Arabidopsis thaliana: one gene and its partners. The protein of the gene in region 1 interacts with the protein of each later gene in a pairwise test. Each region holds a gene or a part of one and is shown on either strand. Other genes may lie near its edges.

Region 1 (5,389 bases):
CTCGAGCAGTCAAAGCTCAGACAACAATGGTGAAGTAGGTGGAAGTTCAGACGCAGATAGTTGGTCGACTGTGCAAGAAAGAGCTTTGGTTCAAGCTTTAAAGACATTCCCGAAAGAGACAAGCCAAAGATGGGAGAGAGTAGCTGCAGCTGTCCCTGGTAAAACGATGAACCAATGCAAGAAGAAGTTTGCAGAGCTTAAGGAAATCATTAGAAACAAGAAAACCGGAGTATGAGGTAAAATCATTTCGGAGTCCCATGAGAATTTTGGGTTTTAATCCTCTTGGGGCACCGTTACTTTGCGAGAAGCAAGACCTAAAACTTTTTTATTATTTGTAATGATTCATTTCCCTTTGATGTCTCTATATATTGAGAGTGCTGGAGCCACTATTATGGAGTATGTTGTTTTTTACATAATCTTATGTAACGTTTGATTAGCGTCTAGTTTCAAGTTGTGAAATAAAGCGCATCGCTCATGCTGCTGTGTCTCCGGTCCCAATTAGAGGTTGGGCTACAATAAGCCCTAATTTTGATTTGCTTCTTTACAATCTAAACAAAACCAATCGAGCTAGTATGATGGAAGTAGCAGGAACAAGAAATGAGTATATATAAATGCCTTCCAAGTATAAGAAAAATCAGGTGAAGAAAATCCAAATTTTTACCAAGTCCACAAATCTTCTCTCAACTATAACAAACCACCAAGTCATGTAAGCCAGGTGCATGAAAATACAGAAAGATTCAAATTGTGTGATATGGTTCATTTTGTTACAGCGACCAAACAGGAGGCATATTGGTCCATCCATAAGACCCGACGCCTCGTGGTGCTTGACCTGATGATGACCCAACAGTCACGTAACTGTTCCCAATGTCGTCACCACCAAGAAGTGCAAGCGCATCACTCATGCTGCTTGTGTCACTAACAATGCCATAACAGCCTTGGTCAAGCCAGCTCGACGCAAGTAAAACATCAGGCCGTGTTATATCAACTCTCTTTGGTTCCCAAACCTGATCCAACTCTTCTGTCTTTACAACATTCCCTGCAAAAGCTTCATATACGAAAACCAACACAGCTGCATAAGAATCAATATGGAACAAGAGTAGATAAGATACCAATCAACAAGTAACTTTGATCAACTCACCTGATGAAAAACCACCTGCACTAAGTTGCGAGGGACTTGTAATCTCGGAGCGACCCAAATACTTTTGGGAATCTTCATATTCTCCTGATTTGATCAGGTTTTCGCTGCCACGTGGTACATTCTGAGTAACATTGGTCGTGCAAGTAGTTGAACTGAAACTCTTCTGGGGTGATGACATCAACAAACTGTGCTTCGCACTAGTTTTGATCTTGGCCTCATGAAGTAACATATCTAGTAGGCCGGTGTCGCATGAAGAGAAACAATCTGACTCCTCTACCTGCGATGGTGGTGGAGATTGAATATAGGCATCAACAGAGTCAAGGAGATCTGAGTGTGGAGGTGACGGAGTCGTCTTCCACTGATCAAATGCACTAGTTTCTGAATATTGGAATGAAGGGAGCTCCAGCTTCACTGCCCCAAACAAGGGCTTAGAAGTAGGATGCATGCCATACGTAACTGTATGGCTATCAGGAACCATCATCATATGAGACGAATGTTGGTTTTCATAAGGATGATGATCAACATCACAAGGCGAGATACTGCAAGATCTGGGATTCTTCTGTACAGCCGTATTCTGAAAGTGTTCCGGCGATTGGAATTCATGCTTTATGTTACTGCTGCACATGGGAAACCGAGATCCAGATTCCCAGATTTGCTTTGGGGAAGGCAATATTGGTGGCATGTAGCTCTCATACCGGGAAGAACTTGCGCCAGTTCCTAGCATGTTGCATGCAACCAAATCTGATAGGTCAGAAGCGGCAGGTAACAAGCTAGCAGCAAAATTTAGATCGTCAAATAAGACATTATCTTTAGAATTCCCCAACTGCAAGAAATCTTGATGTCTTCTTCTTCTATCTACTCTTATGATATTACTCTTTGTATACTCTTCGCTCCAATGAAGGTCATCAACATAGATTTCAGGAGGGTAAAGTGGTAAGCCTGCTCGTTGTCTCCTCTTGATACGAGTGTTCCAATAATTCTTTATCTCATTATCTGTTCGACCAGGTAACTGGTAAACAAGAAGAAAACATCATACCAGAGATTAATTAGTCTTTAGGCTCACAAAGAATATCAAAATATGAAAATGGACCATGATCAGGTAGCTTCCGCAGTTACAAAACTACTTACATGTTCAGCCATCTGTGCCCATTTATTTCCCATCTTGGCGTGCATTTCAACAATGAGCTGTTCTTCTTCTTGGCTAAATGCTCCTTTCTTCAAGTTTGGCCTCAGATGATTAGCCCATCTCAGACGACAGCTTTTACCACAACGGGCCAGGCTAGTGTGTTTCTGCACAGCATTCCAGTTACCCTCGCCGTGCTTCTTTACATAATCAATTAAAATCCCGTCTTCAGTTGAAGTCCATGGTCCTTTCTTCAGGACACTTCTTTTCCCTCTACTTCTGCAGCCATTGCTAATACTATCAGGAGCTGGTGATTCATTATGGATGCTGGAGTGCATACCATCATCACTATCAGCAGTCGCCGTCGTGTAACTCATCTCTTTCTACTTAAAGCAAGACAGACTCCAGCAGTTCAATAACAATTTAGACATCAAGCTCCAACCTGAACCAATTAAGAGGAAAAAGAGACAAATTAATATTTCAGCCAGCATTCATGTAGTTATCAACAAAATAATGACATGATAAACTTGTAAAAGGAGGCGATAATTGAAAAATATGTCTAGTAGATTCATCATATCTACCGCTGAGATATGAGTTGATACTAGGCAACAACTAAAAGTCTGTAATGAAATTTCTACAGAACACTAGTGACACCATTTTGACGAATAGATTTCGTATTTGAATGAAAATCCAGAAATGGAAACCAGAAACTAGCTAAGCACCATTTTATAGCTCTGATACTTTGAAATGACTTCTGTATCAAATTCGCAATCTCTAAATCTTAGTTCCAATTTCGAATACTAATAAATCGATTTTCAATGAACCAGAAATTACGATTGAACAATCAAAATCCATATATACAAGAATCAAAAAGCAGCAACTAAAGGTACAACAAAGACGAACCCTAGCTGAGGTAAAAGTAAGCTCTATATTGAGTATCTAGCAATCTGAATACAATCAGCAAACCATAGACAAATACGAAGTCGTCGAGATCTACAACATGAGACGAAATCGGAGCTCGAGTTTGAGCTGAAGATATCCGATTTGGTTATCGGAAAACACACAAATCGTAAATTTGAATCGGAAAAACGTTAGCTAAAAATATCAAGCTCAACAACTGATTAGAGAGAATGAAAACAGAGATTGAAGATCAGAGATCCGTGGAAATGGATTCAAGAGCTAGTAACGGAAGAACAATCTAGAAGAAGAAGAAGAAGAAAATATTACCAGGAGTGGGAGAGAGATAACGCGGGAAAAAGCTCGAGAGAAGATATCTCAGAGAATCGACAGAGACAAGGATGGAGAAAGAGATCAAAGTAACAGAGGAAGAAGATTCATCAGAGCTGAACAGAAGTGGAAAAAAGAGATGAATTTAGAAATAAACATCAAAATATTAAAACTCTCCTCACTTAATTAATTATTTTGCTTTTTATTTCCGCGTTATAAATAAATTATAGAATAAAAAAAACACTAAGAATCCAATATCTTTATTAGAAAATCAATTAACTCAAAAAAAATCCCGTATCTTTTTTATCAATTTTAAAATTTTATAAAATTCAAAGATTTTAGGTTTAAAAATAATAATCGTAATATTAATATTTACGAAATGTATCATTTAAAAATAATTATGGATAAAGGTTTGGTATAATCGTATACGTCTTGATAAAAAGGAACCCACCAAACATAAATTGGAATGTTGTACTTTAATTTAATGATGTATAAATGAGCTTATTGACGTAGATACGTTGAGATTACGAGAATCCGCACTCATATTAACTACTGTACTAGTGTCATTCATTCTTTGTCAACTAATAGATTATGACAGTGATTCTCTAGCTAATCAGACGATTGGCTTGAATCTGTTTCATGTCACAGCTTCTTCACTATATAATATACATAGTAAATATTTGTTGTCAGAAGTATATAATGATGAATAATTTGGTTCTTATTAAATTATAAAAAATAAAAATTGGTTCTTTTTTTTTTTTTTTTCCTTGGGCTAAAAGCCTAAAACCCAAAGATTTTTAACTCAAATTGAGGAACTGCTATAGTAGGATCCACATGTGCCCATATTGATTTCGGCATCGAAGAAAAACAAAAAATTGGGCTTTAAAAGTGGATCTTCATCATCCATGAAGGTGGTATATCAATTCATCTACCGACATTTGTATTACAAAATATTATTGAGATAGTAGTAACCAATATGTTAAAATTCAACCATAGCACTGTTTTCCATCTAGTTAACAATTAGCTAAAGCCTTTGAGGAAAGAGGAAGGTGAGCGAGCGCGTGGACCTCGTGATCCTGAATAGCTCACGTATTGTTTGTGGCCTGAATTCTGGTTATGTACATAAATAATGTTGTATGAAGATAAGTACAGGCCTGACGCAAGCCCGACAATACAAGAAAAATGATAAAAGAGAAAGATGATAAAAATGCTAATGTACCATATATATGATCCATTGCACCAAACCCACAAAGATAAAAAGGTGCTTTCGGCTTTTTGGCTTATGTTTTGAGACTCTAGAAATAAATATATTCTACTAATAAGTGTGGTAATGTATTGTTCAACATATATCTTTCAACGCTGCCGAATTTGAATTCGAATTATGTTTATTTATAGTCTTATAGAAACTATTTGATTCAATCAATTAGAATACAAATAATTGGTTTTTAAAAAGAAGTTACATAAAGTATGTGAAGAAAGGGATGGAGGGAATAATAATATAGAAATATGGAAAGCAGTGTAACTTGGTAAACGTACGAGGAACGTAAAGAGATCAGTTCCACTTCTCCGTGTCTCACGCTTGTCTCTTCCCTCTCTACCTTTTCTCTATTTCGTTTCACACCTTTTATTTCATCTTAAAACTTGCTCACTAGTAAAAGAAATTCTGACGATTTTCAGCAAACCATTACTGATGATTAGTGTTTGATCTTTAAATTCGCTGACTAAATAGTTGGAAATTTATTTGACGGTATAACTAAAAATTATCTAACCAAATCAAATATTTAAAATCCACCATATAGAGTAACGAACTTCGACAAACTTAATACATTTCGATGGATTCTTTAGCATGAGTGATCTGGTAATTTGATATCATAGTTGATGGCTTGAACACAAGATAAAAC
Region 2 (3,896 bases), on another chromosome or scaffold:
ATGATTTTGAGTGTAAATCCAAATATTTTTCATAATATACTCTTCCAAAGATGAGATTTTTTGTTCAAAATACTTAACGGAATGCATGATATTAGTAGAATGTATCTGTCCAGTTTTATGTCCAGTTTCATGTTTAACAAACAAAAAACTAGTCTCACTCTTTTTTACTTTTGGTTCAGTTTTAAAGTTTTACCGATAAATTGCAAGTGAATTAATCTCAATCAAAGAGATGTTCTTTAAAGCCAGTAGGACAACTAGAGATGTTGAAGTGTTTGTGCATTCTTCTACAAATTTTACAACCCACTTAAGCCCATTTATAAGAGTAGAATCATTTTCGTAAAATGGGGTCTTTTGTTCTCTATGTTAACACAAAAGCGGAATGTTTTGTTGTAGTAATAAAAATAGATGAATTTTTGTTTCATGCTCACGGTTTCTTAATTCTCTATACAACAAGACAGAGAGTCAGAGACTACTAAAACTTAGTTTTTATTGTCTTCTATAGTAACTGAAGCAAGAAGGCTTAACCTATATAGTTTGCAATTAGACTTGTGTGTGCCTCGCAAGCAACTTAACCATTCTACATTTGATCACAATTTCTTCATTTGACCAATTTATCTGTACTCTCCAATTCACTGTCCTCTAGGATCACAAAACCAATTCTTCAAATCCATAACACAGAACAAATACTTTGGTCAAGCAAATATGACGAGGAATCACACAAATACATAACTCTTACTTTAAAAACTCGAAACATTTCATACATTCAACAAAAGGGTTCTTTTTTCTCATTCAGTATCCAACAAGTAAGCATAGAGAATTCATCATCATCATCATCATCAATGCCAACACTTGCATAAAGTAACAACAAGAAGAAGGAAAAAAAACACAAACTTTAAAAGCAAGAGGAAGTGATCTGATTCGATAACTCTCAGCAACACAGCATCAATCTCTAGATGTTGACCTGATCAAAAGCTTCAAGAGCATCACCAGTAAGTCTACAAACTCTCCACTCCTGCAGAATCTGAGCACCCATCTGCTCATAAAACTTGATAGCATTAACATTCCAATCAAGAACAACCCATTCCACTCTTCCATAACCCATCTTCACCGCTTGTTTGGCCACAGCAGTCAACAACATGCTACCAAACCCTTTCCTCCTATAAGGCTCTCTCACAAATATATCCTCAATGTAAAAACCAGGCTTGGACAAAAAGCTAGAGTAATTCGGGAAAAACAGAACAAACCCAGCTACAACGACGTCGTTCAACATATCCGGCGAGAAATTGTAACTCTCCGGATCATCAATCGGGAGATCAAGGTTATGTGTTTTGAAAAACGGTGTGAAATCGGGAGATGGTGATGAAGTGATGGTTGCTGGAAATGGAGAACGAGAGACTTCTAAGAGGAAGACTGTGAATGATTGGAAAGGACGAGAGGTGAAGAGTGTTGAAGCGAGACCTGATTCGGTGGCGGAGAAGAGATGCGTGAGACGTTCGAAGACTGCCATTTGGTGAATTAGTTTGTGGATGAATGGGACATCGGACGGTGTTGCCAGACGGATCCGGGAGAACATTGGGTGGCCGATTGGTGAAATTAGTGGTGCTACCATGTTTGGTTCCGGTGCTGCTGTTGGTGGCGGTGGCGGTGCGGCGGCTGCCATTTTTTTTTGGTACTGTGATTGTGAAAATTAGGGTTTATATTTGGGGGGGGGGGGAGTGATAGTGAGAACGATGGAGAGGTTCTAGAGAAGCTTGGGCGGTGGTTTTTCTTGTGCTATGTGTATTTTTTTTAATTAGGAAAGTAATAAAATAAGTATGGATTTTGAATGAGCCCAGCCCAAAGTTTTTATGGATTTTGTATGAGAGTTACTGAACCCAGCCCAAACCCAGTGTTTTTACTTTTAGTAACCCCCTTACATACGTAACCAAAAGCTAAACCAAGTTATTGTTTTTATGGATTTTTATTGTTTCTTCTTACCACTACAAAAGTCAATACAATATTTAACAAGTTCAATTCATATATAGTAAGTATTAATATAGACAAAATTTCAAAATATAAGTCTAAAAAATTATGTACTTATTCATTTTTAAAGACACATTGTTCAATAAAATAAAATAGGTAGAATAATATATGATACCAATAAACCCACACGATGTGTGTGAGTTGATTTCTAATAATATTCTAATTACCAACTTTATTTTCTCTAAGATATTATTTTGAACCTAAACTACACATGCTCAAAAATATGAGCTAGATCTTGCATATTTGGAAGATCGGCTAAGCTACCACATCTTACAACAATCGCATGATATTAAATGTGAAATAGATTTCTTTTATTGGTTTTATTAACATTTATATATACATTTTTATTGCTAAATATGTCAATTTACTAGTGTAAACAATGTTGCATTTATTGCCGATTATCTACCTATTCTCAAGAATCATGCTAGACTCTACCCTCTCTCTTAGTATCCATACAAGATGTGTCAGACTGATGCTAAATCTGGTAATTCTATGTTTCACACCTGTGGATATTGGTTGGGTTTCTACTTCTGATTGTTGGTGTCATGTTCATTATGCGGTTGAAAAAATATAGAAAATAGAGGAAGGTGCCATATAAGTTGTGAGATGTTAAGATCTCACTAGATGGCAATACCAAAGAAATAGAGGAAAGTAAGAGGAACAAGATAGTAAAGAAATCTGAGGGGAACCAGATAAAAGAGAAAAGTGAGAGGATTTGGTTTTTCTCCTATACATAGCTAAACATGTGTCGTGAATCATTTATTTTTATTTCAACATTTTATCCATGGCGTTATCATTTCAACATTTTTTATTTGTTTGTTTGAGACGATTACAAATGTTTGTGCCCTTTATTTTTCAGTGATTGATAGGATGCACCGTTGATGGAAAAGACCCAAAGGATCTTTAGCATGAAATTTTAAGATTGTGATCGACATTGACATTCCTGAGAATTTAGGAACAATAGTAGTTTATGGTTTTGGAGTTTGTGTTTTTTTCTATGAAATTTAAGTTATAATGATGATTGATCAAAGATAGAATCATCAATAAGTAGATATATAAATATCATATGCATCAAATAACACATACATTGCTTGTACGTTACAAATTGTTACACACAAACCTCCCCCACAAAGCCACAAATAAGACACAGTAAATGTCACTCACCGACCATCTTAAATAATATTCGTTTTTTCTTTTATATGATTTGGGTCCCTTTTTTTTTTCCTTCCTCCCTTCCTGGCCCAAAGAATTCTTCACCTCTTCGCTAGTTCGAAATAACAAATTTAAGCATGGAGCTCATGAAGCTGGCTCCTGACTGACCCATAGGCCTTCATTGCACCAGCTCTCAACACAAACTGATGGTAAAATGCTGCAATGGCTGCACCCACAAATGGACCGACCCAGAAGATCCACTGTAGTTATTAAAACAAAACTCATTAATATGTTAATTTAAAACCCAAGAACGAATATCAGATGGTGAAAATACAAACCTGATCATCCCAAGCCTTTTGATTGTTGTAGATGACGGCAGCTCCAAAACTCCTAGCCGGGTTTATTCCGGTGCCAGTAATTGGAATTGTGGCTAAATGAACCATGAACACGGAAAATCCAATTGGCAATGGTGCTAATACCTACAATTCAATAATTTCATACAAAATAAATCAACTTACGTCATTAACAATCAATGACATAGACATTTAAATTTGAATGAATCATAGGTACCAAGATTACTAGAATGGGAAAAAGAATCAATTAATGACCATGTGCATAACAGAAAGATTTGTTTTGTAACGAATCATATATATTTGCAAGGACAAATATCATGGAAAATGTATGTACACATACACATGGGTCGTTGTGGAAATGCAAAATAT
Region 3 (3,093 bases), on another chromosome or scaffold:
GCATTATCTGCATAAGTTATGGATATCTAACATTCAATGTCTATTGTATATGTCAATCCTCCGGATACACTTTACTTAAGCTTGTACAAACATGAATCAAAAGACCTATGATAAGCTAGGAGGCACGTGTGGTAGCTCAAACGGATTCGTTGAGGCTCGTGAATAAGCAAAGAGAAGCAGAGAAGGCACGTGAAAACAGAGCAAGAAGAAACAGATTGTTTAACCACTAGCTTGAGAGTCTAGTGAGTTGTATATAAATAGATAGAAGGTTATTGCACAAGTTATGCATGTATTGATGTGTGTGTAACAAACCATAGAGGAGAGTTAGGAGATCTCTTGAACAAATCTCCATTGTTAGGGCTTGGAAGAATTTTAATCGGAAAATCACAAGGCATTGTAATCTGGAAATTCACCATTGGCTTCTAAATCCAACAAAGCCAACTAATTGACTCAGACAAAAATTGAATTGAGAATAGCATTCATAATGATAATACTTAGGAAAAACATACAATTCAACACAAACTCTTAATCAGACAATTAAAACTCATAATCTAAACTAGAAACAGATCGAGTCAGGGACTTGATAGAAGCTTCCGCTGTCATGGTTATAGACAAAGACTGAATATTTGCTCTGATGGTTACTCAATGGTGACGTCGATAGGTCTTGCTCTGTGTTTGACACACCAGTCACCAATGGTTCTGTCCATTGTTGATGATGATGATCCTCAGGAGAAGACAATGGATTCGTTGTGGAAGAAACCGCACGGCTCTGACCTAGCTCGGTCTGGTTCTCGGGTTGGAGTAACAGAAGCTTATCTTGTAATACCCGTAGACCACTTTCTAGCGAATCCTTCATCTCTAAGACTTTCTCCGACAATTTATTGTCGTCGAGGATCTTTTTACGTAGAAACAGAGAAAGGTTTGTTCTTTTCTTGCGTCGCTCTCTCTCGTGTAGTTTGCTAAACCTCTCAGCCATGTCTCGAACCTTGGATTGATCTTCCGGCCATGTCTTGATGAGTTCTCCGTCACGACCATAATATATGACACAGACTTCGATGTCGCACAGAGTTGAAAGCTCCAAGGCTTTCTTAAACATGGTCTCTTCTCTCATAGACAAATTCGTGGTCTTTTTTGCAGTAGAAGAAGAAGAAAGAGACGATTTCTTGAAACAAGTTTGGTTTCTCACAGACAATTTGGTTTTCTTCTTCGTCGACATTGAAGAATCCATTGTTGTTGTTTACACGGTGAAAGAAAGAAGCTTTAGTTTCTTGCAAAGAGAAAATAAAGTCAGAGAATTGGGATTAGGGTTTATATTGAATTTGTTAAATTCGATTTCCATATTTATTTCATTTTTCTTCAGTAACTGTAATGAAAATCTTTTATTTATTTTTAACGGAAATCTGAATTAGATCCGATTTCCATTTTACTAATATCTAACCGTTGTACGTAATTGACAATTTCTATGTAATGAATTAAAGAAAGCAAAAAACCCTAAAATTGCCACAATCTTCCTTCACTATTCGCTATTCGCTCTCTGTCTCTCTGCTTTGAATCTACTTTACGTTTCCTTCTTCGCAGGTTTTATTTGTCTCTTTGTCATATTTCGTTTAGTCTTCTTCTAATCACAGTTATGATGAACACTTCTTCACATTTAAAGGCACAAGCTTCGTGTCCACTTGTAGAACACTTTCTCCGTCGGAAACTTTCCAAGGAAAACTTCGACAGATTCATACCGAATAGATCGGCCATGGATTTCGACTTTGCTAACTACGCTCTTACCCAAGGAAGAAAACGTAATGTCGATGAGGTAACTTCAGCATCAAGAAAAGCCTACATGACGCAATTGGCTGAGGCTATGAATCAGAATCGCACTCGGATTCTCGCTTTCAGAAACAAACCTAAAGCTCTGCTTTCTAGTAATCACTCTGATCCTCCTCACCAACAACCTATATCCGTAAAGCCTCGTAGATACATTCCTCAGAATAGTGAGAGAGTCTTGGATGCACCTGGAATTGCGGATGACTTCTACCTTAACTTGTTGGATTGGGGCAGTTCTAATGTCTTAGCCATTGCTTTGGGAGACACTGTTTACTTGTGGGATGCGTCTAGTGGTTCTACATATAAGCTTGTGACCATTGATGAAGAGGAGGGACCTGTCACAAGTATTAACTGGACGCAAGATGGTCTTGATCTGGCAATTGGTCTTGACAACAGTGAAGTCCAGCTTTGGGATTGTGTTTCCAATCGTCAAGTGAGAACACTGAGAGGTGGTCACGAGTCAAGAGTAGGATCATTGGCATGGAACAATCACATTCTAACAACTGGAGGAATGGATGGAAAGATCGTCAACAATGATGTGAGGATCAGATCATCTATTGTTGAAACTTACTTGGGTCACACAGAAGAGGTTTGTGGTCTTAAGTGGTCAGAATCTGGAAAAAAACTAGCAAGTGGTGGTAACGACAATGTAGTACACATTTGGGATCATCGTTCTGTCGCTTCCTCAAACCCAACTAGGCAATGGCTGCATAGGTTTGAGGAACATACAGCTGCAGTGAGAGCTCTTGCTTGGTGCCCTTTCCAAGCGAGTTTGCTTGCAACTGGTGGTGGTGTAGGTGATGGGAAGATTAAGTTCTGGAATACACACACTGGGGCTTGCTTGAATTCAGTAGAAACTGGCTCTCAAGTTTGTTCATTGTTATGGAGCAAAAGTGAAAGAGAGTTGCTTAGCTCACATGGGTTTACACAGAACCAGCTTACACTTTGGAAGTACCCATCTATGGTGAAAATGGCTGAACTCAATGGTCATACATCAAGAGTTCTTTTTATGGCACAGAGTCCGGATGGTTGTACCGTGGCTTCTGCAGCCGGTGACGAGACTCTCAGGCTTTGGAATGTTTTTGGAGAACCACCTAAGACCACCAAGAAAGCTGCTTCAAAAAAATATACGGATCCATTTGCTCATGTGAATCATATTAGGTGAATCTACTGTGAAGACTAACAAGGAGAAAACCATTGATAGGTAATAATGTATAGAGAAGCAATGTATTCATCTTTTTTCCTGATTCATTATTCATGAATTTTATATAGTTA

Evidence for each region. The genes of interacting proteins can lie anywhere in the genome.
Region 2: the proteins of MYB65 (region 1) and AT2G39020 interact in a two-hybrid assay, tested with the Arabidopsis thaliana proteins (one large-scale study listed by BioGRID).
Region 3: the proteins of MYB65 (region 1) and AGL89 interact in a two-hybrid assay, tested with the Arabidopsis thaliana proteins (one large-scale study listed by BioGRID).

The regions. Positions count from the first base shown.
Region 1 is NC_003074.8:3,600,305-3,605,693, reverse strand, and holds MYB65 (myb domain protein 65), read right to left. Parts: upstream 3,659-5,389; 5' UTR 3,489-3,658; intron 3,346-3,488; exon of another isoform or gene 3,165-3,345; intron 2,811-3,164; exon of another isoform or gene 2,704-2,810; 5' UTR 2,639-2,703; coding exon 2,267-2,638; intron 2,148-2,266; coding exon 1,139-2,147; coding exon of another isoform or gene 1,113-1,138; exon of another isoform or gene 1,046-1,112; coding exon 765-1,045; 3' UTR 522-764; downstream 1-521. Other genes in the region: AT3G11450 (DnaJ and Myb-like DNA-binding domain-containing protein), read left to right, coding at 1-235. UniProt on the Arabidopsis thaliana protein: Transcriptional activator of alpha-amylase expression that binds to 5'-CAACTGTC-3' motif in target gene promoter. In vegetative tissues, inhibits growth by reducing cell proliferation. Promotes the expression of aleurone-related genes (e.g.
Region 2 is NC_003071.7:16,293,156-16,297,051, reverse strand, and holds AT2G39020 (Acyl-CoA N-acyltransferases (NAT) superfamily protein), read right to left. Parts: upstream 1,913-3,896; 5' UTR 1,661-1,912; coding exon 950-1,660; 3' UTR 557-949; downstream 1-556. Other genes in the region: PIP2E (plasma membrane intrinsic protein 2E), read right to left, coding at 3,306-3,434, 3,513-3,653. UniProt on the Arabidopsis thaliana protein: Probable protein acetyltransferase with dual specificity triggering both N-alpha-acetylation (NTA) and epsilon-lysine acetylation (KA).
Region 3 is NC_003076.8:9,734,786-9,737,878, reverse strand, and holds AGL89 (AGAMOUS-like 89), read right to left. Parts: upstream 1,355-3,093; 5' UTR 1,229-1,354; coding exon 557-1,228; downstream 1-556. Other genes in the region: CDC20.5 (cell division cycle 20.2, cofactor of APC complex-like protein), read left to right, coding at 1,631-2,983.